2 linked regions of the Tribolium castaneum genome follow. Each later gene encodes a partner of the first gene's protein in a complex. Links are inferred from orthologs where the notes say so. Each region holds a gene or a part of one and is shown in the gene's direction. Other genes may lie near its edges.

What was found.
Region 2: DNA replication complex GINS protein PSF1 (region 1) and Mcm3 share a complex: the UniProt entries of both Homo sapiens proteins name them as parts of the CMG helicase complex. The link is inferred for Tribolium castaneum from reciprocal best matches to the Homo sapiens genes GINS1 and MCM3.

Annotation. Positions count from the first base shown.
Region 1 is NC_087400.1:16,458,017-16,465,080, reverse strand, and holds DNA replication complex GINS protein PSF1, read left to right. Parts: upstream 1-3,147; 5' UTR 3,148-3,240; coding exon 3,241-3,312; intron 3,313-3,363; coding exon 3,364-3,428; intron 3,429-3,482; coding exon 3,483-3,936; 3' UTR 3,937-4,086; downstream 4,087-7,064. Other genes in the region: PWWP domain-containing protein 2A, read left to right, coding at 1,204-1,391, 1,485-1,670; protein mago nashi, read left to right, coding at 5,629-6,069; eIF2Bbeta (translation initiation factor eIF2B subunit beta), read right to left, coding at 6,140-6,212. UniProt on the Homo sapiens protein: Required for correct functioning of the GINS complex, a complex that plays an essential role in the initiation of DNA replication, and progression of DNA replication forks.
Region 2 is NC_087400.1:2,690,554-2,699,242, reverse strand, and holds Mcm3 (DNA replication licensing factor Mcm3), read left to right. Parts: upstream 1-3,374; 5' UTR 3,375-3,503; coding exon 3,504-3,575; intron 3,576-3,629; coding exon 3,630-3,951; intron 3,952-3,997; coding exon 3,998-4,128; intron 4,129-4,178; coding exon 4,179-4,417; intron 4,418-4,685; coding exon 4,686-4,979; intron 4,980-5,032; coding exon 5,033-5,339; intron 5,340-5,393; coding exon 5,394-5,542; intron 5,543-5,801; coding exon 5,802-6,105; intron 6,106-6,176; coding exon 6,177-6,695; 3' UTR 6,696-6,741; downstream 6,742-8,689. Other genes in the region: RNA-binding protein 7, read right to left, coding at 6,753-7,163; glutamate dehydrogenase, mitochondrial, read right to left, coding at 7,719-7,832, 7,881-8,369, 8,409-8,689. UniProt on the Homo sapiens protein: Acts as a component of the MCM2-7 complex (MCM complex) which is the replicative helicase essential for 'once per cell cycle' DNA replication initiation and elongation in eukaryotic cells.

The DNA of each region.
Region 1 (7,064 bases):
TTTTTATGAAGTCTATAACATTTACGCTAATAAGTAACAATTCGTTCGAAAAAATGCCAAAATTTTCATTTATTACATCATTAATTCATTATCCAGAGAAATTACTAATATCCTTAGACTTTTAGGTTGTGTGTAATTATTCAATGAATTTCCATTAGGGTACCCTCTCGTTTTTCTCATACAAAAATTACGCATCCATAGCATGAACATTTTGTAGTTTAAACCGATATAAATTCTTGAAATCTCTTCCTAAGCATTCGCGAAGTTGTAAATTTTTCTTGTCCATCCGCCATCATTTAAATTTAGTGTGTTACTTTTAAAACGTGATGGACGTATTGGTTAGCATCAACAATTTTGAAGTAAATTCACAATGAAAAAAGTACACACAGGGTGAGTCATTGATATGGGCACTACACTTTTAAAGATATCGAAATGAATCAAATAACACTGCAAATGGGCAGGAAGTCAAAATGCACGTTCTAAAATTATTTTGCCCTATACAGGATCCTTCATTTTTACGGTGCAGCCATTATCATAGTTTTTTTTATGGCACCCCCTGTATACTTGTATATAAATATTTTTCAGAAAAACCGAGTTTCTCCCAAACTGTCAACTTTTGAAAAAACCAAAAAACTTAACAGGTAAAAAAGATGTAGAATGAGATGCTGAAATTATTCAGAGTATTAACTCAGTATTAAAATACAGGGGGTGCTATTTGAAAAAATTAAGTTATGGTCCTTTAAAATGAATATGTCACTGCATGGTAATGCTACAATACAAATGGACAGTCTTATTGCTGAAAGGTAGCCTCGACAGTTGTCGAGTGCACTGCAATTTTCTTAATAATGTGCCTGCACACGCACAAAATTGTAGAAAAAATTAAATAACTACTGAACGGTTAAATCAAATTGCAAAAACTAAACTGATTTATAAAGCCGAAAAAAGTGCAAATTGAAATATGTAAAAATATACAAGTGGTGCCATTAAAAAACATGTTAAAGGCTGACGTGTAAAAATGGAACACCCCTGTATAGGACAAAATAATTTTTTTCTTTGACTTCCCATTTGATTTATTTCTGTATCTTTGACAGTGACAATGACTTTACATTTTGTTTTATAAAGAAAATGATTAAAACGTCGACGTTAAAAAGCAAATAACCGCACAAGATGCTTTTACTTGTAGTAAAAGCTTACTTTTTCCAGGAGGCCGTATGTTGGTCGGCGATGTCGTCTGGGGCAAAATCCACGGCTTTCCTTGGTGGCCAGGCAAAGTGCTCACCATCACGAACTGTGGAGGCCAAGGGCCCCAAGCGCATGTCGCATGGTACGGTTCCTCAACGTCGTCACTAATGCAGTGCGATCAGTTAAGTCCATATTTAGAAAATTTTAAGGTGAGTCTCATTAAAATTCAGATTAAAAAAATGACAATAAATTGTCTATAAAATGTAACACCAACTTAAGTATTATTATTATTATCATCACAGATACGTTACAATAAGAAAAAAAGGGGGCCATACAAAGAAGCCATCAAGCAGGCGACGCTGGAAGCGAAGGAAAACGCCGAAATAAAGATGCGCCAACCTTTAGGAAACTCACCTTCCCATAATATCATCCAACAGGTGGTGCCACCTGCTTTGGCGTCGCCTAGAGAAATTGATGTTGTATCATAATGAAGCATTTTTCTCCTCCTTGTTTGGTGGAACATACAGGTTTTGTTGTAGCGTGTTTAAATCACGCTCATCACCCTGTATATACTAAATGTGTTAATAGCTACTACTGCGCATTGATGTATTCTTTTTTATAAAGTACTTTATATTTATACAGAAATATTTGTATGCAGCAGGCGTAACATGTTTCTTATTTTAATTCCTGATATTGTATCATCTCTTGTAAAGAATATTTTTTGTGATAACTTTGGATGATTGTTTTCATATTGAAGTGTTTTATTCAAGATTTTTATAGGGTTAAGTCATAGTTACTACTATCTGTTAAACAATAATCAATATATCTGTGATTTTATTCCTTTAGAAACATGTAAGTAGTAAAATTAAATTAATAAAGTCATTTGGTACTAAGGCCTATTTTTTCAACTACAATTTTCAGTTGACAAGACTGCATTGTGCAAGACCCGTCATGAAATATTACCATCGAACTAAAAAAATTAACAAAATTTTCCAAAAGTGATAAAAAAAATATTTAGTTGTCCCATTTCATTTCTTAATAGCATAATTTTTGGAACAATTTGCCCCAAAAATAAAATTAAAAATGTCTATTTAGTTAAGTATTCATTGTTATTATTAGATATTATAATATTACTCTTATACTTGGTTGCTAAAAAGTATGGATACAGTTAAATATTAAATAATAATTAATTGAAATCTTGTATTTGCTTAAAAGTACTGTTTAAATTCTATCGTTTTAGATGTCTATAAAATTTTCATTTACATTAATTTTGTTTCTGGGGATACAAGGCTAACTTTTTTTACACAGCAAGAAGGGTCAAATTTATTTTTTTAGTTCTTGATGTAACACATGCTTATCTCATTAAAAAAATATCTAACTAATAAAATTTTCTCTGCTTTGGAAATGTTGTCTTTATCTAACGTTAGCTCGTTTCCGCCTGAACTTTGACCAAAAAATAAGTTAAAGTTAATAATGGTTATTAAATAACACTTTTGTCTGTAAAAGAACACATTTTAATAAAAAAATTAGCTGTAGCCATACTTATTAGCCACTTTGTAAGAGCATTGACTGTCCATCTAGATTGCTTCTTCGTTAATTTATTATACGAATATTTTGCCATCAATTGTTTAATTATCTTCAAAAAATGTTTTTTGTAGTTACGACTTTTTTGCTTCGAAACTTCAAGAAAATTTGTATTTCAATTGTCGTATATTGAAAAACAGCACTCTAAAAAGATATGCATAAAATAACGTGCCAATATCATTTTTGCAAATAAATCGTTTATTAAAGTTCAAAATTTCATACTTCAATTATATGAAATAAAGATACCATAGAAAATTTAAGAAACATGAAATAACTCAAAAAATACGTAAAAGTAGTGACGAAATTTTTGCGTAGTAGGGCAGCATAACTTACCGTAGATGTGACATCACACAAGGATACGCGTGATTCGTGTAAACCCGCCTTTAGTTGTGGCCTGTCATTATAAATGCACCTTTACTGTCATTTGGCGGGCTTTTAGGTTAGAAAACTATTTAGACAAAATTTTAAATCGAAATGTTTTGTGAGAAAGCCCACGTTTTGATCAAAGAATTATCTCGAAACCGGGACGCTTTACCGCCTTACAACGTAAAAATTACCAAATTGTTCCTCACTCAATATTTTACAATTTTTTTTCAGACTGATCTTCTCAATGAAATCAACACTGAAGTCAAGCAACTCATTACTCAAAACCAAGAAGATGCGTAAGTTTACACACTTGATCCTCGAAACCAATACTTCAGCGTTTTTTTTTTCAGTCAAATTTCTGAAGATAGTCGGGTTATGAATCACGCCTCTTATTTACCTACAGTCAAAATACGGCATGCGGCTATCAAACGGAACATTCGATGCATTCTGGCTTATCACTACAATCGGTTAAAATGTCTCAGAAACATGCGCTGGCAATTCGGCAGTATTTTACCGCCAGATGTTAAATCGAATTTAAGTCAATCGGAAATTGAATGGTTTTCGAAATATTCCAGCAATTTAGTACAATATATGCGATCAATTGGTGATGAAGGGATTAATTTAGCTGTGGATTTAAAACCGCCAAAGTCTTTGTATATTGAGGTCAGGTGTCTAACGGATTATGGACAGTTTGAATTGAACGATGGTTCGGTGTTGTTATTGAAGGAAAACAGTCGTCATTACTTACCGAGAAGCGAATGCGAGGAATTAATACGACAAGGGGTCCTTGAACACGTTGTTTGAATTTGGCGCCTTTTTTTTAAACATCAAATGTCCTTGAAAATATTTAAATTACCTTATTTTTGTACGTGGTGATTCAATACTAAATAATTAGTTGTAACATAATCTTAAATTAATCTTATTTCGTAAAATAAAAGCGTCCAGTGTCGCCAACTCTGATTAAATTCCATGTTTTAGTGTTTGTAAGTAAATTGATACCTGAGTTATACACGGTGATTCTGTTAGGGCCTACATTAGTAACTTTTAACTTGTAATATAGCTAGAGCTTTAAAATTTTGTACACGATCTAAATCGACTATTCTGAATTCAACTTATTTTTTTTCAAAATGGCTGAGCTTTCGGAACTACAAAAAATTGGCGCCAAGTTTGAAGTTAAATCACTACTTCGCAGTTTTCATAGTTAATCAAGTAGAACTTGCAAAATGGTCAACAATTGTCAAACTTATTTAATTTTTAGCTGGTTCATTATCAAATAAGCAGTAAAACAATAATATTTAATTATGTTTCATTATAATTTTGTGAATTATGTAAAGTAAGGCAGTTTTACGGTTGACAATACAGAAGATTTTAGAAGATCTTTCAAACCTTTGGCTATCAAATGCAAAAAGAATTATTCACTTATTATAAAGGGTTCACGAGCTGTGATATTTCAAATGAACCCCTGCAAATCAAAATTTATATAAAAAAAATTGACATATGATAATTTCTCGTAGTTCCGGAAAATCAGCCAGTTTAAAAATACTAATTTAGTTGAACTCAGAATGGTCGATTTGGATTGTATACAAAATCAGAAGTCGAAAAGTTTCTAATGTAGACCCTAAAAGCATTAGTGTGTATTGTTTATCCAGATCTACTAACTACCATGTCTCTACTAACCAGTAACCATGGTTGAACCCAAACAATAACATCCAATCAGAATCAAGCACACGCAACGCATGAACATGGTGGCAAATGTTGTAACCCTCAAAGTCAACAAATATGGCTATATCTATGAAGCCATGTCCACCTATAACAGCACCCTCTGTTGAGCAAGCTTCTAATTCTGAGTTTGATTCCCCCCACCACTTTTCTGTTTGGTACGGTTCTGCGTTGTACGTTTCTAATGAAGTATTTTTCTAAACAAATACGTGAAATACGTTGCTGATAATGTATTTTTTTTAGGTCAATACTGTTCTGTTATGTATGTTTCTAGTTTTGTCCGATTCTGCTTGTGTATGTTTCTAGATTTGTCCGATTTTGCCTTCTGTTTCTAAGATGTATTAGCTGTTTCAAAACTATAAAAACGTCAAGATCGCATTTTCTCTCAAAATTCGCTATTATAAATTATTCATGCACTTCAAAAAAAAATAGCAGCTAATGCAATTTATACTTTTAATGAGAGATCTATGCATTAATAACTATTTTACAATTTTATGAAACTTATTTAAAAAAATAATTCGGTAAAGTGCGACGTTGGCGTTTTTATAGTTCTGAAACAGCTAATACAGTTTTGTCATTTTATTTTCTGTTGATGACAAATTCTAGACGTGAATTTTTCTAGATCTGGACGCGTTTTTACTTCCCAAATTAAATTTTCAGCGCGCCGTCCTGGTGATTTTGTCTGTTGTGTTGGCAACACTAACGCTGTCACAAATTTGACAGAAGTGATCCCTAACCCCACAAACGTTCCAAGCGGCTTCCCTAAATTCCGTTAGAATGTCTGCCGATTTTTACATACGTTACTACGTGGGCCACAAAGGTAAATTTGGGCATGAGTTTCTCGAGTTTGAGTTCCGTCCCGATGGTAAATTGCGTTACGCCAATAATTCCAACTACAAGAACGACACAATGATCCGTAAGGAGGTTTATGTGCATCAGTGCGTGATGGAGGAGCTCAAGAGGATTATTATCGATTCGGAGATAATGCAAGAAGACGATTCGTTGTGGCCGCCACCGGATAGAATCGGTCGTCAGGAGCTTGAGATTGTGATCAATGATGAACACATTTCGTTTACTACCTCGAAAACTGGGTCTTTGGTCGATGTGAGTCAGTCGAAGGATCCCGAAGGACTGCGCTGCTTTTATTATTTGGTGCAGGATTTAAAGTGTTTGGTGTTTTCTTTGATTGGAATGCATTTTAAGATTAAGCCAATATAAGCGTAATTTTTGTAAAGTAATGGTGAAAAATAAAAGTTTTGATAAAATTTATGGTTTTATTTAATTGGTTTCAAAGTTCGTAGTCGTCAGGGTGGTACAATTCGGAGAGGAGACGGTAGACGTAAGATGGTGCGTTGCCACCCCTAAAAAAAACAACATAGTAATAAAGGGTGAACCAATATTATCACTTTTGATTGTAATAAAATTTGACGACGAACCAACTTCCTTAAGAAGTTTTAAATAAAAAAACGGGTTTGACGTTTCGTTTATACATGGTGTAACGAAAAGATGGGGACAAAACGGAACCAGATATTCTCCAAGTCAAAGTAAAACGATTTAACCCAATTTACCTCTATACCAAGTGTCACCGTTTAAAAGTTAGAAGGCGCCAAAGTTAAAAAATTATTTTTGTTCTTTATTAGTAACTTCTAAATGAAATATCATTAAATTATTCCATTAAAAAGTTATTAAATAAAATCGAAAATAATTTTTGAAATTGGAGCCCTCTAACTTTTAAACGATGCAACTTGTAAAAATGTTGAAAAAATTCCTAAAGTCATTTTTAAAAAATCTGAAGCTACAAACTTATTGTGTTAACTTTTTTAGTTTTCGTTATTTTTTAATGTTTTTATGCTTCACACAAGGTAGTCGTTCTCTAACAAAACGATGAATAATTATTTTCAAATTTTCTATCAGACTTTAGCATTAAAATTCATCAAAAAAATCACAATGTGTAGATGTGCCAACACTGGGAATTATTTCCTAGGAAACCGTTTCAAAAATAATTTATTTTTATTATTCGGAAGTAAAGTTACCGTTGGGGGCGCCACTGAGCTAGGTCGAAAACAGTAACCATAAATGGCGGGAAAATGTTTATTCGGATATTTTGAGCGTTGTACGAATTTTGAGGCTTCATAATTATTACATTGCCAATGCGGAATGACTATTGTATCTTTGGTGGAAGATACGAATGTTGACAAATTAGAGATGACGAG
Region 2 (8,689 bases), about 14 Mb from region 1:
GAATTCGCTTCGCTCATGAGGACTCTGTCCGAATTCCGCAAAGGAGGCATAACTGATTTTTTTCCGTTTTTTATTTCCTTATGTAATTGCTTTATTATATTTTCTAATATATTTGATGTCTAATGATTTTGTAATATTAAACAGTTCAGATAAACGAAGATTACTTAAGTTCCTTCGTTCCATTTATTATAGGAAAAAATCTAACAAACAATTTTTAGTAAATAAATAAATTCAATCCATTTTTATGCAAATCTGTTTTTATATGCCTTTTAAAATTAGTTCTAGTGTAATATCTACCACAATCACATAATAAACGAGTAGAATTAACAGCTTTTTTACATTGTTTACATGTTTTTTCATATTTATTTCTATAGTTATAAAAATCATCTGGACATTTTAATTCCAAACAAATGGAGCAAAGACTTGTCATTTATTAGAACAAATTTATTCATCAAAGACTTCAAGATTACGAAAGTGTATTTTAAGAAAATCTAGTTTTGCCAAGGTTAATACGTTATTTTCATACATTATATATACTTCTCATATCGTTTAACCTTTTCTGAAACATTTGTCGTGCTTCTTGGTCATCGTTATGTGAGCAATTCATTTAATTTACTACATTTTTTTCATAAGAAATTATCTATAAACAGTGCATGATAAAACACACTGTCCCTTTTGAGGTAAACTTGTGATAAGCCTCGAGATTCAAAAAAATATGTGTGGTATAGGGAGGAGGTGATCAATTTAATGTTTATTTAATTAATTGTCAAAAAAATAAATACTTGTAATAAAAGGGATCTAGTACAATATGCGAGGCAATATGGGACCTACGTATTATAAAAAATAAAATAAATAAAACTATTAGATGTAATTATATGATGAAGACAAATAACGTATGGAAAGAATTTTATCTTCCAAGAAAGAAGAAGCGAAAAATTAAAAATTAAATTATTGACATAGATAATACTGTTACTTGAAAGTTTATGATCAAGACGTATTTTTCATATTAGACAATGATAATCAACCTTTGTTTAAAGGTAAAGATTTAGCAGAAATATTGGGTTATGAAAAATCAACAAATGCTATAAGTAAAGACGTAGGTAGGTGTTGATTTTAAGAGAAAATTGATAGTCGTATTTTTTTGGAAATATGTTGTTTTTGCAGAAAAAGAAAAATATTAATCACAAATAATTTGCTTCAATTCATGGGATTTATTGAAGAAATAACGCGATTTTAAGAACTTTTTAAAGGACTAGGAAATCTCATACGAAGAAATAGATTATAAAAATGCTAAAGCAAATTTGTATAAATATATACAAAATGATTAAAAATTTTAAAGAATTAATAATGATGTTGAATAACAATAAGGCAAAAAAAAGTTAGGAAATATCATTTTAAATTAGAAGAATTGCTAGATAAATAGGAAACTAACGTTAACGAATATAATCTTTTAAGGCAATACATAATTATAAAATTAATGCTAATCCATTAAACCTGTTGGACTTTATAAATAAAAATAACTACTCCTATAAAATTAATTTGAGTACGTGGTTGACCGATATATGGTTTACGTTATTTAAAAGAAAAATATAATAATAACAAATGATCTTTTATGCTTTATACAATATGGAATTTCAGTGGGGGGTGGCTATCCCCCACTGAATTTACGCGATATTAAGAAAGATTTAAAGAAAATTTTAGAAAACTATAAAATAGAATACCAAATAATAAATTATGATAAGATTAAAAATGAATTATCATATTATAAAAAATTGATAACAAAATATATTATAAATATTTCGCCAAATAGTTAATTTAAATAAAACAATATGGATTTTATTGAGTGTTCGTAATATTAAATCCCTAATAATAACATTAAATACAAAAACGGATCAAGAAATTAAAGAATATTATATTACTTTGGAAGAAATATTTTATTCATATTTGGAATACACTAAAAAGTTTTATTTGAATATAGGAGAATCACTCGAAAAGATAGTCAGATAAAGCAAATTGAAACGATAATTGAAATTAAGAGAGATGATTAAAAATATTATCAAGTTAACCAAAGAGCATATAATAAATTGTATAATAGTTTTATAGCAAAGATTCGGTAATAAACAATATAACAACAATTGTGGTAAAGACATGTTTTCATTATAATTTAATCGATGATAATAATGTAATAATGATAATGTAATGTATATATATATATATATATTTTTTTTTGGAATGCAACTAACTTTGAGAGAAATTGTGTTGTTGATAGAATGAGTAGGTAAGTTTATTAATGGTCAAGCTTATTTGCCTGTAAAGTATGCTATTATAAAGTAACTGCGAAAGGCAATTAGTTAACTTTAACAAACTAGTTGAGTTTAATGAATAATTGGTATTCTGAATATAGGTATGCCTTTCTTCCGATAAATGAGATTATTCACTTACTTCCAAGTATAAAAAAAATACCTATTGTGCGATTTGGACCTAAGAATAGTGTTGTATCCACGATTTCGTGATACTTCAGAAAGGGGAAATATTAATATACTCGGTGTAAAATTCAACAGATTTATTCTCTACAAACTTCCAACAACTTACAACGTTACAACAATTTACTTTTAGCTCTACATCGCGTCTCCTTCCCTCATTTTTGTGACGGTCCTTTTTAAGAAGGAAAAACTACCTGCTCCCAGAAGGGGGGCGTCACGAGCGGTTAAGGATTGAGGGTTGCACATTTAACAGGAAAGTGAAAGTTGTACATTACAACAATAGAAACAACTTACAGTACGAGTCAGCGTTAAGCAGCCATTTTCTCTGCGATATTTAAAAACCTTTACAAAAACACAAATTCAGATAAGCAATTTTGCCTACCGTACAACACGTGTTACAACTTCCTAGTGATAACAGTATAATAAATATAATTATTCTAGTTATTATGTAATTACTGCCATGTTTTGGACGCGAAAACAATTACAATATAAAAACCACGTGGTCGTGGGTCAGGATTCAGTTATTTGATTTACTTTAATTTTAGACACAATCGTTGAAAATAAACATAATGTCAGACGAATTACATTTTACTTATAACATTTAATAAATATCAAGACAATCAAGACTTACCTGTTAATCGATGCACAACACGCTCACGACGCTCACACGCTGCTACAAGGTGTCAACAGCTAGACACTGTTCCCACATGACAGTTGACCAGACAATTGCTGAGAATAAGGGAATAAAAAATGTAGAAATTAAATGCAGTTAAGTTTTAATTTGTAATAGAAACACATTAAAACGGTCAGGAGATGTTCTGCAAATGTGATATGCAAGTCACTGTAACAGCTTATTGATGTTTTTATTATGATTTGTCTGGTCGATTGTAATGTTCATGGTGCCAGCTATCTGGCCACCCAGGCCCGACTTGGCAACACCGCTGTGGCTCTTTTCCCGCCAAAACTCCTCCCGTGTTTTCGCCCGTTATTACCCGCATTTCCAGTGTTAAGTGCCCCATTATGGACCCCCAGGAGCTAGACCAGCGCCTCCGCGACATGCAGCACGAGTACTTGGACTTCCTCGATGACGAGGTACGAATTGGTGGTGTTGCCTTCCCCCCGTGTTTTAACCCCAAATTCCCGTAGGAGGACCAAGGCAAGTACGCCACACTTGTTAAAAACATGGTTGCGGACCACAGTTTGCGGCTTGTGGTGAATGTCAATGATTTGCGCCGCAAAAACCCGGCCAGGGCTGCCGCCCTCCTCACTAACGCTTTTGAGGAGCATTCGGCGTTTCAGAAAGCCCTCAAAGAGTATGTTTACACAGTCGCGCACGACTATGCCAAGGAAAACGACGAGTTTTTCATCGCCTTTGAGGGGAGCTTCGGCAATAAGCATGTTACTCCAAGGAGTTTGACTTCGAGGTTTTTGGGGAATTTGGTCTGTGTTGAGGGGATTGTGACGAAATGTAGGACTTGTTTGCGTCTTTCTTGCGTTACCGGTTGGTTTTTAAGGCTCGTTGGTGCACCCCAAGGTCGTCCGGAGTGTCCACTTTTGTCCAGTAACGAAAAAAGTAATGGAAAGGAAATACACTGATTTGACTTCGTTAGATGCCTTCCCCACATCGTCGGTGTACCCCACTAAAGTCAGTCGTGTCTTTTTTGTATTTTTTATCAATTAATTTGAGTGGTTTAGGACGAGGATGGCAATTTATTGGAGACAGAATTTGGGCTTTCGGTGTATAAAGACCACCAAACTATTTCCATTCAGGAGATGCCTGAAAAGGCCCCCGCGGGGCAGTTGCCCCGTTCGGTTGATATAATCTGCGATAATGACCTTGTTGATAGGTGCAAACCCGGGGACCGCATACAAGTGGTGGGGAACTACCGGTGCCTTCCCAACAAACAGGGGAGCTTCACTAACGGCATTTTCCGGTATTTTTCCCATAATTATTAAGCAAAAACATAAAAAAATAATTGGGGCCAAATTTTAAAAAGCTGGTGATTTTGGTTTTGGAACTAGAATTGACAGGACGCCATAAAACAATCATTACATTACGAAAATGTGTTTTAAACAATAATATAGTCACGTAAACAACACACTTGATCCGACTTGGTGCCCCACTGTCTTTATTTTCATTCAAAAATAGTTAACAATTAGTGTGATTTAGTCATTTTTTTGCCACGGGATTAATGTTTGCAGCACTGTGGTGATTGCAAGTAACGTGTCCCAACTGTCAAAAGAAGCAAATCCTTCCATTTCACGTGAAGACGTCGCCAAATGTAAAAACTTGGCCAAATCGAACAAAAACGTCTTTGAATTATTAGCCAAGTCTTTGGCGCCGTCAATCCACGGCCACGAGTACATCAAGAAGGCGATCCTGTGCCTCCTTTTGGGCGGAGTCGAGAAGATCCTGCCCAATGGGACGCGCCTAAGAGGGGACATAAACGTGTTACTGATTGGCGATCCCAGCGTTGCTAAGTCACAGCTCCTCCGGTAAGTCGACTCGATTTGTGAATCGTTGATTGTGATTGGCAGTTGCCATGGAGATACGTGTTATGCACCGCCCCTCGGGCCATTCCCACCACTGGGCGTGGATCGTCGGGGGTTGGTCTAACCGCAGCGGTTACAACCGATCAGGAGACCGGCGAGAGGCGGTTAGAGGCCGGTGCGATGGTTTTGGCCGATCGTGGCGTCGTGTGCATTGATGAGTTCGACAAGATGTCGGATATGGACAGGACGGCCATTCATGAGGTCATGGAACAGGGGCGTGTCACTATTGCCAAGGCGGGGATTCACGCAAGTTTGAATGCCAGGTGCTCGGTTTTGGCGGCGGCCAATCCGGTTTACGGAAAGGTGGGGTTTGATTGGTCGGTTGCGAAAGCAGCGATTTGATTGGGTGATTTGTAGTATGATCAGTACAAGACGCCAATGGAAAACATCGGGTTGCAAGACTCGCTCCTGTCGCGGTTTGATTTGCTGTTCGTGATGTTGGATTCAGTGGATGAGGATCATGATTTGATGATTTCGGATCACGTGGTCAGGATGCACCGATATAGGTATTTTTTTTTAGTAGGCTTGTGCGGACTACGGAGGACTGTGTGTTAGGAGGCGGAACGAGATACAAAATCGTACCCAAAAAATATAGTTAATTAATTTAAATCTGCAAATTGAACTTCCACCTCCAAGGGGGTTAATAATATAAATAATAAATAATATGACTTTAAAATGACAGATACAGTTAATTAAAAATAAATAAGTAAAAAAAAATTAATAAAAAATTATAAATACTAATTTTGAACTTGATAAAAATATTAGAAATCCGGGTGAGCAAGATGGCGAAGTCCTGCCAATGGGCTCAAGCGTGGACATGTTGAGTACAATGCGCCCCGAGGAAGTCGACGACGACAAGGTCACCCCCATGTATGAAAAATACGACGCACTTCTACACGGTGAAAGTCGCAAAAAAACCGACAAAATCCTAAGTGTGGATTTCATGCGTAAATACATCCATTTCGTGAAAATCCTCAAACCGACACTAACCGAACAAGCGTCGGAAATCATCGCCGATGAGTACTCCAAACTCAGGTCGGAGGACGTCCTTGAAAATCACGTCGCCCGGGTAGGTTCCACTTATAGGTTTTTTTGGTATAGTCACTCGTCTTCGTCTCGTGCATAATTTTTTTTTCGAAGACACAACCTGTGACACCCCGTACGCTTGAAACCATGATCCGATTGGCCACAGCGCATGCCAAAGCCCGCATGTCTCGCACTGTTACCGCACAAGACGCCTACGCAGCAATTGAATTGGTGCAATATGCCTATTTCAAAAAAGTGCTCGAGAAGGAGAAAAAACGGCGAAGAAACGCACAATCCGAGTCCGAAAATGAAGAAATGGAGGAGGAATCACAAAGAACGAAGAAATCGCGGCAAGAAGTGGAAGAAAGTGAGGAAGAAATGGAGACTGAAACAATTGAAATTGACTCAACGCCTGCCATGATCACGAGTGAGAGGCTGACTCAGTTTCGGTCAAGTCTCGACAGGGCTTTCCGGGACAACAGGGCGCAGTCTCTAAGTCTTGCCCGCATCCGCGACTCCGTCAACACTGACAATATAGCCCCCTTCAGCCAAGGCGAAATCCGAGCCGCAATTGACCAAATGACTGAAGCCAACCAAGTGATGTTGGCGGACGGGATCGTATTTCTCATCTAATTGTAACAATTAATTAAATAAAAACTGCGATTTTTTTAATAAAAAATTGGTTTTATTTCAATATCTCCTGCGGTTCCTGTGATTATTATTATTCCAGTTGGGCCTATGGTTGTGGTTGTGATTATGATTGTCGTACCTTTGGTAGGGCGTCTGCCGGTGGGGCCTGTTGTGCTGGTAGGGGTTCCTGTACATGTCTCCAGGGCTGGGCTGCTGAACATTTTGGCCCTTCGGTTTTATGATGATCCTGCGGTCGAAAAGGGGGGTACCGTCAAGTAGGCGCACGGCGTAACTAACGGAGCACTCGTGTTTGACTGTAACGAAGCCGTAGTTTGTTTTACGGCCGCTTTTGTCGGTTGGGATTCGGACGCGCTCTAAGGGGGCCACTTGCAGAAATAACTCCCACAGGAGCTCTTCGGTCACTTTCTCCGATAGGTTGCCGCACCAGAGGGTGCGTGTTTGGTCGTCCATGGCGTTTTGTGGGTTTTATTTGGAAAAAATTGGGGTTTGTTTATGCCACATAACCTCAAACGTCACGCGCGCAAGCGCCAATTCTTCGAGGCGCCAACTGTGCCACTTGCTTATCTTTGATCATTTAGAATTTTTTCTTTTGCCTTGTTTTCGTATAATAAAATTATTTTTTTTTAATTAACGCTTAAAGAACAGTGCCAATTTTTTATTTTAATTTTCAAAGCCCAACATTATAGGTGCAATCCAGTGGGTTGTAGAGCTCTAAACGCACCTTTAATTTAGTTATGTATACCTGTTTTTTTAATTAAAAACCCATTAAGGTGCACTTTTATGTGAATTATTGTGATAATGGGTTAGTTATTTGCACCACAGTTGCTTTTCAAATAAAAAAACTGGTTACTAAAAAAAGTCACTTGATTCTAAAGCCGCATTCACACAACAAACGTCACTCAAAAAATCTAAGATAATTATTTATTACATTAAAGTTTACAAAAATGCGTTCTCAGGGAAGATTTATCATTTATTACACTTTAATACATTTTGGAATTCACAAAATCAGTATTTTTTCGCTTCGTAAATCGAATTGTGAATGCTCTGAACGGCCTTAATGTACCCCGCTGTCCTCAAATCCAAGTCAATTCTGAATTCCTTTGCAATTTCGATCAATTCCTACAATAAAAAATTAGAAACACAGCCAAAATTTCCACTTAGCCCCACTTTGCCCGTTTCCGCCATTACATGCTCGATCCCGTACGACAAAATGTCGGGCTTAACGTCACAACAGAGAATTTTTTGTGTCGTCGCGGTCGAAACAACCTGTCCTTGAACCTTTTCCGCATCAAAATAATCCAAAATGTTCCAATACAAGTTTCTCAAAACGGGAAACTCCAACCCATCTCGTTTCAAATGAAACAAATACTCCAAATATGACGCAATCGAGTGCCCTGAAGAGACATAAATATCAGGAAGTACTAGTTTTTTACGGCCGGTTAAAATCCGGTGTGCCGTGGGTGTGATAGCCCCATTTGCGCCTTCGATAATCACTTTAGCCTTGATTTTATCCGCAATGTGGCAATTTAGGGTTTTTTGTTCCGCGGCAAGAATCAAAATATCGCACTGTTCTTTAAAAATGTCATCGTTTGACACCGGCTTTGCGTTAGTGTAGTTCAGGATGGTTTTATTGGCTTTAAAATAGTCTAAAACGCTCTAAAAAGGGTTAAAATTTTGGGCAAAATTTTGCCAAACCTGGATGTTTATACCCTCCATGTCGTAAATAAAAGCGTCTTGTTCTTTAATTCCAACACAGGTGGCTCCACAATTTTCCAAAAACTTGGCCAAGGCCCCGCCCAACTTGCCAATGCCTTGTATGATGTAAGTTTTGTGCTGGAGGCCACCTTTTGACATGCCGATGCGTTCCAAGATGGCGTCGTTGTTTAGGAAGTAATCCAAGGCGAAGAAAATCCCCTGACTCGCCATTTTTTCGTAGTTGGGGATTCCCCCAAGCTCGACAGGCTTGCCAGCCACCA